Caenorhabditis elegans: one gene and its partner. The protein of the gene in region 2 interacts with the protein of the main gene of each other region in a biochemical or structural test. Each region holds a gene or a part of one and is shown on either strand. Other genes may lie near its edges.

Region 1 (7,731 bases), 750 kb from region 2:
TGCCAAAAACAACAACTATATTTGCACAGGACCTTGTAGGGCCTAGAAATTTCTAAAGTTGTTAAACTATTTCTAAACCAAAACGAGTCCCAGTTTTCCAGTTTACGAAATTTTTTGTTGTTAGATAGTTTTGGTTCTTAACCTTTTTTCTAATTTGTCAATACCAAAACAAATTCATCAATCAGGTGAATGACGCTTAGACGATTCTGATTGATTAGAAATTTTTTAATTAACCTTTTTGGTTACTTGGAATTGATTAGAAAATGTTTTGGCCTTATGGTGAACTAAATAAACGGTGCAAAACTTCAGTCAATTTGCCTTGTGTCTTCAAATTTTCATGGGATCTCTGAAAATTTACAAAAACTCTACCTAAAAACGATATGTTTACCCAAATGTAGTTCTCACAACAATCTATATTTGGGATCTCAAAATTATTTTTAGTTCTCTAACGTCATTTATTCTCACTGCTAATTATGAAATATGTACGAGGAAATTTCGTGGCAATTTTTATTTCTCGAAAGTTCCAAAATTTCCATTTTCCCATGGTCAACTGTAGTAAAGAAATATTTTAGAAAATTGACGTCACACTCAGCCGAAATTACGGTAGAATTTTTTTTTGAGTTTTTTTAATTGAAGTCAAAAAAGGGAAAACTAAATTTCCCCTTTCGCCAATTTTGGAGGTCAACCCTCTTTTTTTTTGGAAAATTAGATTTTTTGCCAATAACTTTGTCTATATAAAATTTTTGAAAAACCTGAAATATTCTCAAACATTTGAAAATTTGAAAATCTGAATGTATGAGTGTATTAAGACCAGAGGTGCGCGGTAAATATTTTTACCGGCAAAGTCGGCAATTTGCCGTTTTTCGAGTTTCCGGCAAATTCGGCAAACCGGCAATTTGCCAAAAACAAAAATTGCCGGAAATCCGGAAAATGGTCGGAGTTGAAAATTTCCGACAAATTCGACAAACCGGCGATTTGCCAAAAATTAACATTTCCGGTTAATCGGCAAATTGCCGGAATATAGAATTTCCGGCAAATTCGGCAAACCGATAATTTGCCAGAAATGAAAATTGTCGGCTAATCGGCAAAATTTTGGAATTGAAAATTTCCGGCAAATTCGGCAAACCGGCACTTTGCCGAAAATTTTGAAATTTGCAGACCACGTGCTTGATTTGCATCAAGTTCTCATGCCCTTTAAATTATTTTCTCTCTATACAGATTTCCTCATATACATTGACATCATGCCCTCTAACAACAAGAATAAAAAAATTAAATATTAATTTGTATTCGAATTCGGAAATTTCCTTTTTTTGCGCTTTGTGTCTCAAATAATATGCGGTGCTAATGAATTTTTCATTCCGAAATACGACGGACTTGTTGAAGGATTTCCTGAGTTTTCACAATTTTACGTGTATTATTCGAATTTTTACAGGAATCTTGCAGTTTCTGACTCTGGTCCAGACGTGGCCGCGAAAATTAGAAAATTCGGCCAGGAATTTATTTTTGATATTTTTTGTTTTTTGCGGCCTCTAGTATGAATACTGTATGCTAATCTCGAGGTTTTTAAATTAAAAAAAATACTCATGGCCGAGTTTCCAATTTCCTAGGCCACGTAGCAGCCGCATTTCACCTCAAACTCTCATTTTCTCGGAAATTTTTGCTGAATTCCTTTGAAATTCAGCTCAATCTCTAAAAATTTTACTTTCAGGTACCCCCGTTGCAGAATAAAAATGCACAGCTTGATCACAGAATTGCTCATTTTCTTCACAGTTCTTCTTTCTGTCAGGTAATTTTTTTAATTATTTTTTAAGACAATTACATGGTTCATTTCAAAGCTCTAAAGAAGATTCTAAAGGCTTACAACTAGAAAATTTAACCTTGGCAAGCAGGTAGGTACTTGAACTTTTTTTTGGTACAATATTCCTAAAATTCTTCAAATAATCTGAGCTCTTTAGCAAACAAAAGTTGTCAAAATCTATGAAACTAGATCAAAAATTGGTTTTTGAAAAGCAAAAACGAATCAAATTTCATTTGTACCAGGTGAAGGGTTTTTTGATAACTAGATCAACATTTTATTTATGCAGAATCACTTTTTTTATTATGAAACTACATTTGAAAAAAATGTATTCAAAAATATGAGGAAGCAATTAGGCTTTCGAAACTCGCAAACATAGTATTTTTGGAAGGTCTCGCAGTAAAATTCAAGTGACGTCATACCGATGAATTTCCCGCAATTTTTATAGGTAAAACCGATATAGATTACTATATGTGACGTAGAAAAATATAAAAGTCGATAAAAATTACCTTGTTCGAAATTTAAATGTGGACGGGTTTTATCTTTCTCGTGGACGCGTTAGAAGGAGACCTGCCTGCCTATGTGCCTACCTATTGCCTACCGCCGCCTCCAATAAAAATGCATATTTGCTAATTTCTGTCTATTTTCATTTCCATTAAGTTTCTTCATGGGGTTTGCTTTGAAGGCAGGCAGGCAATTAGGTGCCTGCTGTCGGAAATTGCATAGCATCAACAATTTTTGGAAAATTTGAAATTGAGGAAATTTACTTTTTATTTTTATTTTTATTTCCAAACAGAGGGATGGGGCTCATTTACAAAACTCATTTTTATCCAAAAAAATTTTTTGAAAATATTTTTTTGGAAAATTATATAGAAATGTAGAGAAATATCTGTTCTTTCTGAAAACAATTTTATCTTTATTTAAAATGTTTGAGAAATTGCCGAAAAACTGCCTCAAAGCCGGCCGTAATGCACCTAGGGTCACTGACTCTATCGGCACATTTTGACTTTTAGGTGGGTTTTGAGCAGCTTTTTGAATTTTTAAAGAAAAAAGTAATACCATTATCAGAAAGTACAAATGTTTTTCTATATTTCTGTATAAATTTTCGAAAAAAATTGCCGGAATTGCTAAAATTTTTAGAAATTTCAAAACTATAATATTTCAGCTATTTCAGAAATTCCTGAGCCCACTCCCTCGTAGGAACCCAATTATGAAATTGTAATTTTGGCAGAGAGGGAAAATAATTTGTTTTTTCGCAAATAAAAGTGACGCGGTGATGCTTTCAAAATTGAAATATATACATGTATATATCTGTGTATATTTTTCTGTTTTTCCATATTTCCCTCCTCGAAAACCGCTAACAAATTCTATCCGGTTACCCAATTTCGGTTTAAAACCATTCCATTTAATTGGCACCACATTTCCGTTTAGCTTCTTCCTGCTTTAAGCCTAAAACCTAATTTACCACCCAAAAAGTCGTAAAACAATCGTATTATTGTCATGGATTCATCGTATAGTATATAAAAATACCGTAGCTGTGTGTGATGACGTGGCAACAAGAAAAAATTAAAGAAGAATGTGATGAAAGGCAGGCATCATTTCCTGGGAGCACCCACCATTAGGCGCCGCCCACTTTTGGCTCGGCGAGCAAGAGGGGGGAGAAAGCTCATTCTGTTTTCGACACCCGATACATACACTCACACACATTTTCCACTACTAAACATATTTTCTAAAACATGCAGTTCCAATTTTTGATGGCTCTGATTTTTGTTGCTTTGGTTTTAACTGACAGGTTGGTACTGTGGGGGTACTGTGGGGGTACTGTAGGGGTACTGTAGGGAATGGTACTGTAGATTTTTTTTGTTGAAAGTACGGTAGTTTTATTATATGATTTTTTTTAATTTGAAAGTTGTTGGTTATGAATTTTTTGAATTTTTTTAAATACGAAAATTTTGTTTTAAAATTTGGTAAGAGACCATATTTCTGTTTACTGTGATCCTACATTATTTTAACATTACTATAGTGTATTACTGTAGTATTACTGTAGTATTACTGTAGTACCTTTAACTGAACCAAAATCTATAACTTAATACATTGGTTGGGCCAAAAATATTTTGCAAAAATTTTTTTAATGATTTTTGTTCAAAAACTATTTTAAGGGTGCAGTATCATCTAGGATAATTAGAAAAAACTCAATATTTTTCAAAAAAAAAATTACTATAGTCTCATTAAATATATGTGTTAATTTGTAAGTTATAAGGTTTTTTTTTTGAATTTTTGGAAAAAAGAAAAAAAAATCCAAAATTTGGTTAAAATTTTTTGGGTCGAAGTTTGAATTTCTGAGCTTTTTTTTTAATTTTTTGGATAAGCTTATGTTCATTTCAGTTTAAGACAATTTTTAGAATCACAAAATTAATTGGGATAACTTTGGAAAAAAATCAGAACAATTTTAAAAAATCTAAAAATTATAAAAACTTGATGTTTTCTAATTTTTGAACTTACTACTCAGTTACTTACTCAAATTTAAATCTTTTCGAAATCTAAATTTAGCTTGTCTGCGCAAAACATCATGGCAGGTGAATTTCTGTTTGAAAAAAATGTTTTCGACCAAAAATTGCAGTTCAACTTTTCTCAATGACGTGGCAAAATTGAGATAAGTAGGATTTTTTTCATGATCTTTTTTGAAAATCCACAAAAAAAAAGTAATTCTGAAACAAAAGGGGATTAATTTGGAGTATTAGTCAATGCTCATGAGTAATAAATTGTGAAAAAGTCAACAAGGAAGCATCTCAAAACAATCAAAAACTAGGCTTAATCCCCCATCTAGATTTGGATCAACAAATTTTTGATAAATTCAGATATGTAGTAATACTGTTAATAGTTGAACCAAAAATTCTAAAAATTGAAATTTTTTTAAAAATTTTTTAAAGTTTTAACCTGTTTCCTATTTAGAAATTTCATACATTTTGAATTTCGAACATGATGCATCAAAAACTGAAATTTCACAAATCGCGACGAGACCCACCAAAACTTGGGCATGCGCCTTTAATACATTTCTGGGCGTAGTTTAAATTTAAATTTGAAAATTTCAAATTTCCGTTCATTTGCGCTGGAATTAAAAAAAATCGTAGTCCCTGTAAACTTTTTTAAGAATGTATATAAAAAATCCTCGAAAATTTGGAAAAATTATATAATTTTTTAAAACAGTTATATTCGGTATACTCACGTGGCGTCAAGCTGTCCCATTACGGTTTGATCTACAAAAAATGCGGGAATTTTCTGCCCAGAAAAATGTGACGTCAGCACGTCCTTAACTATACAAAATCAGTTGAGAACTCTGCGTCTCTTCTCCCGCATTTTTTGTAGATCTACGTAGATCAAGCCGAAATGGGACACTCTAACACCACGTGTATACTTAGACTATGTTATGATATTCAAGTAAAAAGGATTACTGTAGCAATAGTTTCAGCTGTGTCACGACATAAAAAAGTTTTGCAGCGTACTATCCCTGCCACTGGAGAAAAAAGCAGACATTTCCACATTTGCATCAGCTATCAATAATGCTGGACGGCTTCGATACGGCAAACGATCGGACCCCGCAATGTGGGAAGAAAAGTGAGTACTGGGAAATTTGCGCGTAAGATATGGTGCATCGAGGAACACCAGATTTGACGCGCAGAAATTTGAAAACTAGTTGGTCATGGAAAAAATTCTAGACGCTGGTTCAAACCTATGCGATTTCTAAACTTTTTCCACAATTTGGAGCCCAGCGATCGGTACGTAGTGTGCACTTTTTCTATCTTTTCAGTTCATTTTTCTTGAAAATTTAAGTTTTTTTTAACATTTTCAATTTCCGAGTGACATTTTTCAATAATTTCAACGCACTCCAACCTTTCGAAATCCAATAAAAGTGTGTGTTTTGACCGGAAATCTCAAATTTGTGTCTAGCAAAAGGAGATGCTCTTTACAAACTTGTTTGCTCCAGCAACAACCCACCACTTTTCTTCGAAATCATCACGTCATTTGAAATAAGAACTTTGCAATTATAAAAGTAATGTAGCCTATGAGAAATTTGTGATTTTCAGTAATGTCATCATTCCATCATCGGAAGATCAGTACCTCTACTCGGAAGGACGTTATCCGTACGCATTGTGAGTTTCTCACTGGGGTAAAAGAACCTAGGCAGGCTTATAGCCTAGGTCTATAGCCTAGACCTATATTCTAGGCCTACAGTTACCTACAGCTTAGCCGAGACCTATGGCCTAGCCTAGACCTATAGCCTGGCCTAGGCCTATAGCCCGGCCTAGGCCTATAGCCTAGCCTAGGCCTGAAAATTGAAGAACAAAATTTAGGAGGCAGGTGAAATTTTGAAGTAGTAAATATAGAATAAATTAGTGATTAATCAAAATTTCACCTGTTTGTTCCTGCATTTTGGAACGTAGATCAAAATTTGGAACTAATTGAAAGTGGATTAGCGGAGGAGTTTTATGACGTGGGGGCGCTTAAGCTTCAAAGCTATAAAAAGATGTTTCCGAATTTTCAAGATTTAAACCCTCTCAACAAAATACAATTTTAAAATGTACAATTCGAATGACAAATGGTTGAATAGATAATTAGAAATTTGGCAGAGAGTTTGAAAAAAAAAGGACATTTTTCTCGGAATCAGAAAGTCGTGGCGTTTGGTCGGGTCATTGGGATGAAAATTTTTCAAATTTTTTGAGGAAATCCTCCTGAAACTAAAAATTATTTCAGAATCAAACGTGCGCTGAACAGAGACTCCCTGGTGGCTTCTCTCAATAATGCGGAACGATTACGGTAATTTTTAATTTTATTTTTCGAGATTACGCCTATGGCCTACGCCTATGGCCTACGCCTATGGCCTACGCCTATGGCCTACGCCTATGGCCTACGCCTATGGCCTACGCCTGTGGCCTACGCCTATGGCCTACGCCTATGGCCTACGCCTATGGCCTACGTATATGGCCTACGTATATGGCCTACGCCTGTGGCCTACGCCTGTGGCCTACGCCTATGGCCTACGCCTATGGCCTACGCCTATGGCCTACGTATATGGCCTACGTATATGGCCTACGCCTATGGTCTACGCCTATGACCTACGTCTATGGCCTAAAACAAAATATAATCCATTTTATTTTCAGATTTGGCCGTAAATAATTCCATCACGTCAGCCCGTCCGTAGCCGTCTCGTTTTTTTTTCTAAATTTTCTCTCTCGAGGTTTTGTTTTTATTTCAGATATTTAATTAATTTATTTATTCTCTAAAAAATTTTCCTCATTCAAAAATTCGCTTATTCAAATTTTTCATCATTCACCATCTTCCTGTCTTGTATCAAATCAGTCCCCCCAACTCGTTTTTATTTTTTATTTCTTTCTCAAAAAAAAATCAAATAAAGTTTGTGAGTCTGTTGTTTTGAAATTTATTTGATCTAAAAAGAGCGGGAACAGAATGGTCGAATAAACAATCGGGATATTAGTGCGCCAAAATTTTTTTTGGTTTGAATTTTTGATTTGAATATGATATTTGTGGACATTGAAGTTTGATCTTTTTTTTTGTCATAGGCGTAGGCCATAGGCGTAGGCCATAGGCGTAGGCCATAGGCGTAGGCCATAGGCGTAGGCCATAGGCGTAGGCCATAGGCATTGGTCAAAGACGGTTGCTATAGGCGTAGGCCATAGGCTTAGGTAATAGGCGTAGGTAATAGGCGTAGGCCATAGGCGTAGACCGTAGGCGTAGGCCATAGGCGGAGGCCATAGGCGTTTGCCATAGGCGTAAGTCATAGGCGTAGGCCATAGGCTTCGAGTGAATTCAGAATTCTCAATCTCAAATGTTTATTTTAATTTCCTCAGAATAAACTTTTGCCAGATGTCAGATTAAATGAATACAATTTCGAATGAGTCCACTTCGAAAAAAGTTAA
Region 2 (7,198 bases):
TATGGTTAATTCTCTAAACATTTTTTTTCGATGTTCCAATTTCCCTTTAAAAATTGAAACATCTTTTGAATACACATATGGTAAACACTACTAAAGTAACCTGGAATTTTTCCATAAATGATTAACGGGAAACGGTAACTTTCAGGCTCTATTCAAAGTTTTAAAAAGTTTTTTTTAAGCAAAAATCATTATTATTTTTTATTTCTTCATAATTTTTGGATTCAAAAAGTTGAAATTTACCACTGTAAAAATTTTCATATAATTTTTTAACCGCACAACACTGGTAGGTAGGCACATTTAAAACACGCGCCTGTCTACCTGAAACTTTTCTAAAAAATTCCCATCTCACTGCTTCTTCTTATATCGTTATTCTTGCTCCTCAAACTCAACACCCCCCCCCCATTGAGCTCACCCATAAAAACCTTCTAAACTACCTGCCTACCTTCAAATTCCCACACCAGGTGATAGTCTTCTCGTAGTGTTCTCAAATTTCACTAGACATACTGCCGGCTCACGCAGTTTTTAAGAATCCTCCTTCTCCATCTCCACTCGCCGTAAAAACGTCAAAGATTATCGCATCTCCGCCCTATCTCCGTCCAATTGCTCTAATCTTGTTGAACCTTATTTCTCTCTCTCCTTTCTTCTCCATCTTTTTTTGCTCTAAAAGCCAAAAGTGTGCTCTGATAATCTTATCATATCATTTGCAGAATTTTAGACTCCAATACTTTATAAAATTTTGTTGTTTCATTAGTAAATGTTCTAAAAATACCTCGAAAAAACCCCGTCACTTAAATGGAATTGGAATTTTTTTGGCATTCGAAAAAATGTTTTAAAACTAAACTATCATTTTTGAACTTTACTTTAAACTTACAAATTTGTTATTAAAACAAAGCCTATAATTGTGGTAGGCAGGGAAGGCGCCTCAGGCAAGCCCAATTGCCTGATGCTTACCTGAAAAGTTAGGCCCAAGAAAAATTGGTAGTCAAAAATTGGTAGTCATATAATAATGATGCGAGTTTCCTGTGACCCCCTTTTACATATTTCATTCATCAAATTGCCATTGAACCAAACATTAGTCACACTTTATCCACCTTATCACGCTGAATACCTCCAAATTTTGGGTGAATTGTTAGAAGCTAGCTTTATTCCTAGGAGCCATGTGACTTTTTTCAAGCTTAAATTTTAAATAATTGATGTTTTTTAATAGGTCAAAAATGGACTGGTGATCGGTCAAGGGAGAGCTTTTCTTTATTTAATCTCTTTGTTATCTTTGTCAAATTTTTTTTGTGTGACGTACATATAATAATTTATTTTTACACTTTTTGTTGGAAGCCCATAGGTCAAAAACCAAGGATTTACTGGGAAGACTGAGACATTTAGATAATTTTTTTGATTTTTTAAAGGTTTTTTGTTTAGTCCTAAAATTATGGAGATTATTCTTTGTTTTTTGAACTACCTGGCACATTTTAAAGCGGGTTTCGAGATTGATTTATTTAACTTCATTAACATAACAATTTATGTAAAATTTGATTTTTTTTTTGAAAATCTAAAAAAAAGAATCTAAAAATATAAAAATTTTACTTCCCGAACAATAGCTCAAAATTTTTACCATTTTTCTTTTTTTTAGAAGAAATTTCCTTTTTTTTTTCATCGACTGAAATTTGATAGAAAATTGGATTTTATGATTAATTTCCAGAACACGCTTTTCGATTTTCCCATTTTAGAAAAAAACATTTTTCGATTTTCGAATTTAAAAAATTTAAAAACTCTAAAATTTTCAACGATATTTTTATTTTATGGATTTTATGCATGTAATTTTCTTCAAAACGTTTTTATGTGATTTTGACTTTTTTGAATTTTTTTTTTCAAATCCTTTTATCGATTATATTACCCCTCTGAAAGATTCTCTCTTTAATATCAAATTTTCAATTCCAGAACCTTCGATGCATGGTTAGTTCGGCGGCCACCATTTCGACCATTTCAACCACAACGACTCCCTCCACCATCAGCAACGTTATCACAAGTCATTCGAACAATGGCTCGTGCATTCAGATCGCTGAGGCGATTGCGGCACAAGGCATCGATGATATTACTGTGTAAGTTTTGGGTATCCTGGATGGATTTTCTAACTTATAATTTCCAAAAAAACCTGTCAACTTTTCTCACCACAAAAATCACAATTTCCGTCATAGTTCAACGATCTCATCTTTTTCACCCAAAACCGCTCGAGAGACTTGTCCTCAAACATTTCAACTTTTGACATGTGGCTGACGAGTGACATGGAAAAGTGCTCTCTTTCTCATTTTCCTTGGAGAAAAATCAATTGGCAAATTTTTGTTATCATTATCAGTGTGAGAAAAGTTGTTGAGAACTAGGGTGGAGAGAGATAGATGATACAGTTGTTGTGACATCCGACAGCTGTGTGCTCTTGACATTTTTTTCAAATGTTCTTGAGCTGGAAGCATCCATGAAAATTAAATGGGGACATTAAACTGGCGATCGCAGGGAAACAAAAAGAGAAAGTTTGAATACCTTAGATAACTTAGCAGCCGACATTTCAAGGGTATGTCTAACGTCGTTGCTCTTCTAGATTTAGCAGCCGACATATTACTGTAATGAACGACGTCCCTCCTCTGTCACACTAAAGCTGTAAGAAAGTGACGTGGAACATGACCGAGAGATGTCTGCCGCACTGTGTGGTCACTTCCTTTGACAAGTAGCGGTAGACACCTCGCGGGCATGATTGGCGTAACTTTTTCTGCCACGTGTAGCACCCGACACCTTACGGTTTGTATGACGTCATTTTTTTGTCTCACGTGCCGGCCATACTCAAAGTCCTACCCTCTCCTCCCCTACACTCAAAAAATCAAATTTTTGCAGAGACTTTTACATCCGATCAATCTTCACATTCCTCTACGGGTTCCTGTTTGTATTAGGCATTTTTGGAAACGGCGGCGTACTATGGGCGGTGGCGAGAAACAAGCGGCTCCAATCGGCTCGCAACGTATTTCTGCTCAACTTGATCTTCACCGATTTGATATTGGTGTTCACAGCGATTCCAGTCACACCATGGTATGGATTTTTGTGAAAATTTTGAGGGAAATTGTTTAATTTTTATAACCTAAACTTTTACTGCAATGAAAATTGAGTAATTTTCAAAAAAAATTGTTAAAATTTTTGAGCAAGTTTTTTTAGGTGAATATCTCCTGTAGAATATGTTATGAATTTTTTCTTTCAAAAAATTCCCATTTTCCAGGTACGCGATGACCAAAGACTGGGCATTCGGGTCAGTGATGTGCCATTTAGTTCCTTTGTCAAATTCGTGTTCGGTGTTTGTGACGAGTTGGAGCCTCACTGCAATCTCCTTAGATAAATTTCTGCATATCAACGATCCCACCAAACAACCAGTTTCTGTAAGTTTTTTTCGAAATGTGCTAGATATTTCTGAAGCTTCATGAATATTCTGAAATGAGCTAGAAATTTCTGGATAGTTCTGGAATTTTATTGTAGTTTTTAAATTTTTTTTGGATATTATTGAATTTTTCTAAAATTCCTTGAATTTTCTGCAAGTTTTCAAATCTTTCTGGAAGACTCGAGAATTTTTTCTGAAGTGTTCTAGAAATTTCTGTACTACTTCAGACTTTTTTTTTGGAAAGGTTATACATTTTTTATTGTTTTAGAATTATCGGGAAGCTTTCAGAATTTTTTGAGTTTTCTGCAACGCTTTAAAAATTTCTGGACATTAAATTTTTTTTTGAGATTCCCATAATTTTCTAGAAATTCCTTGAGTTTTCTGGGATGTTTTATAATTTTCTACAAGGTTTTAGAATTTTCTGACAGGTTCTGTAATTTTTTTGAATGTTTTAGAAATTTCTTGAAGCTTCTTAAATTTTTTGGAAGGCTGTTAACATTTCAGGAATGTCCAAGAGGTTTTTGTTTAAATTTTCTAATCTTGAAGTTTTTGGATTTGTCCAAAAAATCTAGGAAATTCTGGATAGTTTTAAATTTTTCCGGTTAAAACTCATTTTTAAAATTAAAAAAAAAAACCATTTTCGAATTTCATTTTCTTTCCAGATTCGTCAAGCGTTGGCAATAACATTTCTTATCTGGATAGTCTCAACACTGATAAATCTACCGTATCTTATGTCTTTCGAGCACGTCGATGGAAGCTTTTACGTTCAGCCCGGAGAAACTCCATACTGCGGGCACTTTTGCGACGAGGCGAATTGGCAGAGCGAAAATAGTCGAAAGATTTACGGAACTACGGTTATGTTGTTACAGGTGAGCAAAAACACGCTGACCTAACAACCATAAAAATTTTGCAAACCTAAATTTTTAAAACTTTTGAAATTTTCCTACATACGTCCAAATTTGCAGTTCGTCGTGCCGATGGCAGTGATCACGTATTGCTACTTCAAAATCTTGCAAAAAGTGTCAAAAGACATGATCATCCAAAATGCTCAATTCTGTCAATCACTGACACAAAAGCAGAGAAGTGATGCGACGTCACGAAAGAAGAAAGTGAATTATATTCTAATTGCAATGGTTGTCACATTTATCGGGTGTTGGTTGCCTTTAACATTACTCAATTTGGTCAAAGATTTTAGTGAGTTTTTATTTGTTTTTTGGAAAAAAAAATCGTAGTCAACTGTTTTGAAAACGCTAACTATAATTGACAACATTTTCTGCTCAATTTTGTTTTTGACTGTCTTATATTAAAATTAACTTATTAAAGGTTGAATACGGCCCAAATGACTGAAAACTATTACTAAAATGACCAAAAATTATATATAAATTTTTAAAAAAAGTTTGAAAAGTTGTTTAGCTCAACTCGAAATGTCTCAAAAATTCCGAAATTTGTAAAAATTGGTAAAAATTTACACCTTCGCTGAAAATGAGCCATTTTTTCCAAAAATAATCGCCCAAACTTTTTTTTTGAGAAATTTTCAAAACGCCTCACTACAAAATTTGGTAATTTTGGGCCATTTTTGGTCTGAAAAACGAAATCTCTTCTCAGCACAGCACGTTCAATTAGTCGTAACATGGGCTCTTAAATTGAAAAAGGTCAAAATGTATAGTTTGTAAAAATGAGCAAAATGTGGTTAGTTTATAATTTGGTGAAAATTTATGCTGCTCAATCCAAGTCGGTGTAATGTTACGAAAAGGAAGCCTACATAAAAAGCTTCTGCCTGTGGTAGGTCTATGTAGAATTCCTGCTGTAATTCCTAGTGTGAGCGATTAAAATGTTCGAAAAAATATTTGCCGTAGTTTTCGAAACTTATGTTCAAAATCACTACACATTGAAACCAAAATTTTCAGAAAAAGAGCCCGAATGGCTAAAACGTCAGCCGTTCTTCTGGGCAATAAATGCTCACGTCATAGCCATGTCCTTAGTCGTCTGGAACCCTCTGCTATTCTTTTGGCTGACACGAAAACAAAAACGTTCCGGACTGTCAAAAATACTCAACTCAACAGAGGTGAGTATTGTAAACTTCTTCAAGTCCCCTTGTATAAAGTTTGCTCCTAGCCGTGTGCTCCTGGTGTTCTTCCCGTTTTCCACTGCTTCCTTTGTGTCCCCCCTCTCTTCCTCTGAGCCGCCTTTTGTTTTCAGATTGTGTCCTCGTTTGCCAGTAGAGTGAGTAACTCGATTCGGCGGTCAACGTTTCGGAGAAACAATATTGACAGGTACAGGTTCTCTTCTAACTTTTAAAAAACTCTCTAATCCTCTAACTGCTTGACTTTTCTCGAAAAAATTCTGTTTCCTGGTCTTTTGTACGTTGTTCAAGCTTGATATGGGGTACACATCTCCTCTTTGCGATGGGGCGCGTCTGCCGCGCAGTGCCGTCATGGGTCGTGTACTACTCGTGGACTTTGGAAATTTTTTGGAAATTTTTTCGGGTTTAATTCTAGTTGGCAGAGGCTGGACCAATCGCCGTTAAATTTGCAAGTTTTGAGTTTTTGAATTTATTAAATGCTCTAAATAACAGAGAAAAGCGAGCCATACAAATTTATAGCTAACAAACAGAAAAAATGTTGATTTTCCCGTTTAAATGCGCTTTTTTCAATCCGATAATGCAAGTGCGCTCTACCGAACAAATTAGTGCGCCATGATATCAGTTAGTTGAGCGTAATTTCGAGACTCGATTTGCATGAACCACATAGTCTACTTCCGCCGCAACCGACATTTTCTGGGTTTTGCTAATCCTACAGCAAACCCGGGGGGGGGGGGGTGTCCGCCGCTTCACTAAATACCTTCATATCTTTGAAAATTGTATTTTGCAGGGTTCGAAAAAAGCAGGTGGTTCTGGATTGCGAGGGATCCAGCTACACGACCTCCTCCCGACCTCTACTCATTCGGACAGATGTGCAGGCAACTCTTTCTAATGGCTCGACGAGTACTACCCGCGAGATGCTGTAAATTCTATACGTTACTCCCCTGTGTTCATCTTGCCCGTCTCTCGAAAAATTCCATTATCTTTATTTTCTGTTCATTTTTTGCATAACGAAACGTGCGATTAATCCGGGTCCAGTTCGCTCCGCTTTTTCTCCTCCTAAGACAGCAACCCCACAAAAATCTAATTGCCTTTTTTGTATTTTCTTTGTTTTCTTTTCTTGTTTTTTTTTGTGTCAAAATAGCGTCACCTAATAAAGATGCACGCAAAGAAAAATGGGATTATACAACAGGGAAACGTCTTGAAAATGCACACCGAGCAAGAGGCAAATATTTCTGTGTCTACGAAAATGTAGGGGTGATAAGAGTCCTGAATCACAATTTTAGCAGCACTCGACACTAACCGAGTTCCGGTATTCATCAGATCACCAAACAGCTAAATAGAGGAACCCGGCAGATGTAACAAAAACAAAAATAAGTTTTTTGCATTACTAAACAAATTCAAAAAAATATAAATACAAAAACAACAATTTAAACGCAGAGTATCATTTTCCGGGAATTTCCTTTGAGAGATCAAATATCATGAAAACAATTATCTACTAATTTACTAAAAATTTTAAATTTCTTTCATTTTTATCCGAGAAATTTATCTTCACGAAAAATACTTATTTTAAAAAAACGTACTGTATTGCTCCTACCGTACCATTATTGGCTGTAAAAACGCAACTTTAAATCCAAACAAAATATGTGAATTTCAATTCTTTCAGAAAAAAATATAACAGATTTTTTAAAAATTATTTTTAAAAA

The links. The genes of interacting proteins can lie anywhere in the genome.
Region 1: of the proteins of npr-5 (region 2) and flp-34, one has a biochemical effect on the other in vitro, tested with the Caenorhabditis elegans proteins (one study listed by BioGRID).

Annotation. Positions count from the first base shown.
Region 1 is NC_003283.11:1,027,385-1,035,115, reverse strand, and holds flp-34 (FMRF-Like Peptide), read left to right. Parts: upstream 1-1,711; 5' UTR 1,712-1,730; coding exon 1,731-1,786; intron 1,787-3,463; exon of another isoform or gene 3,464-3,531; coding exon of another isoform or gene 3,532-3,587; intron 3,588-5,293; coding exon 5,294-5,410; intron 5,411-5,880; coding exon 5,881-5,946; intron 5,947-6,547; coding exon 6,548-6,610; intron 6,611-6,954; coding exon 6,955-6,970; 3' UTR 6,971-7,222; downstream 7,223-7,731.
Region 2 is NC_003283.11:276,454-283,651, reverse strand, and holds npr-5 (G-protein coupled receptors family 1 profile domain-containing protein), read left to right. Parts: upstream 1-1,935; 5' UTR 1,936-1,947; coding exon 1,948-2,096; intron 2,097-2,880; coding exon 2,881-3,072; intron 3,073-3,256; coding exon 3,257-3,413; intron 3,414-4,074; coding exon 4,075-4,281; intron 4,282-4,377; coding exon 4,378-4,606; intron 4,607-5,319; coding exon 5,320-5,477; intron 5,478-5,611; coding exon 5,612-5,685; intron 5,686-6,282; coding exon 6,283-6,418; 3' UTR 6,419-6,666; downstream 6,667-7,198.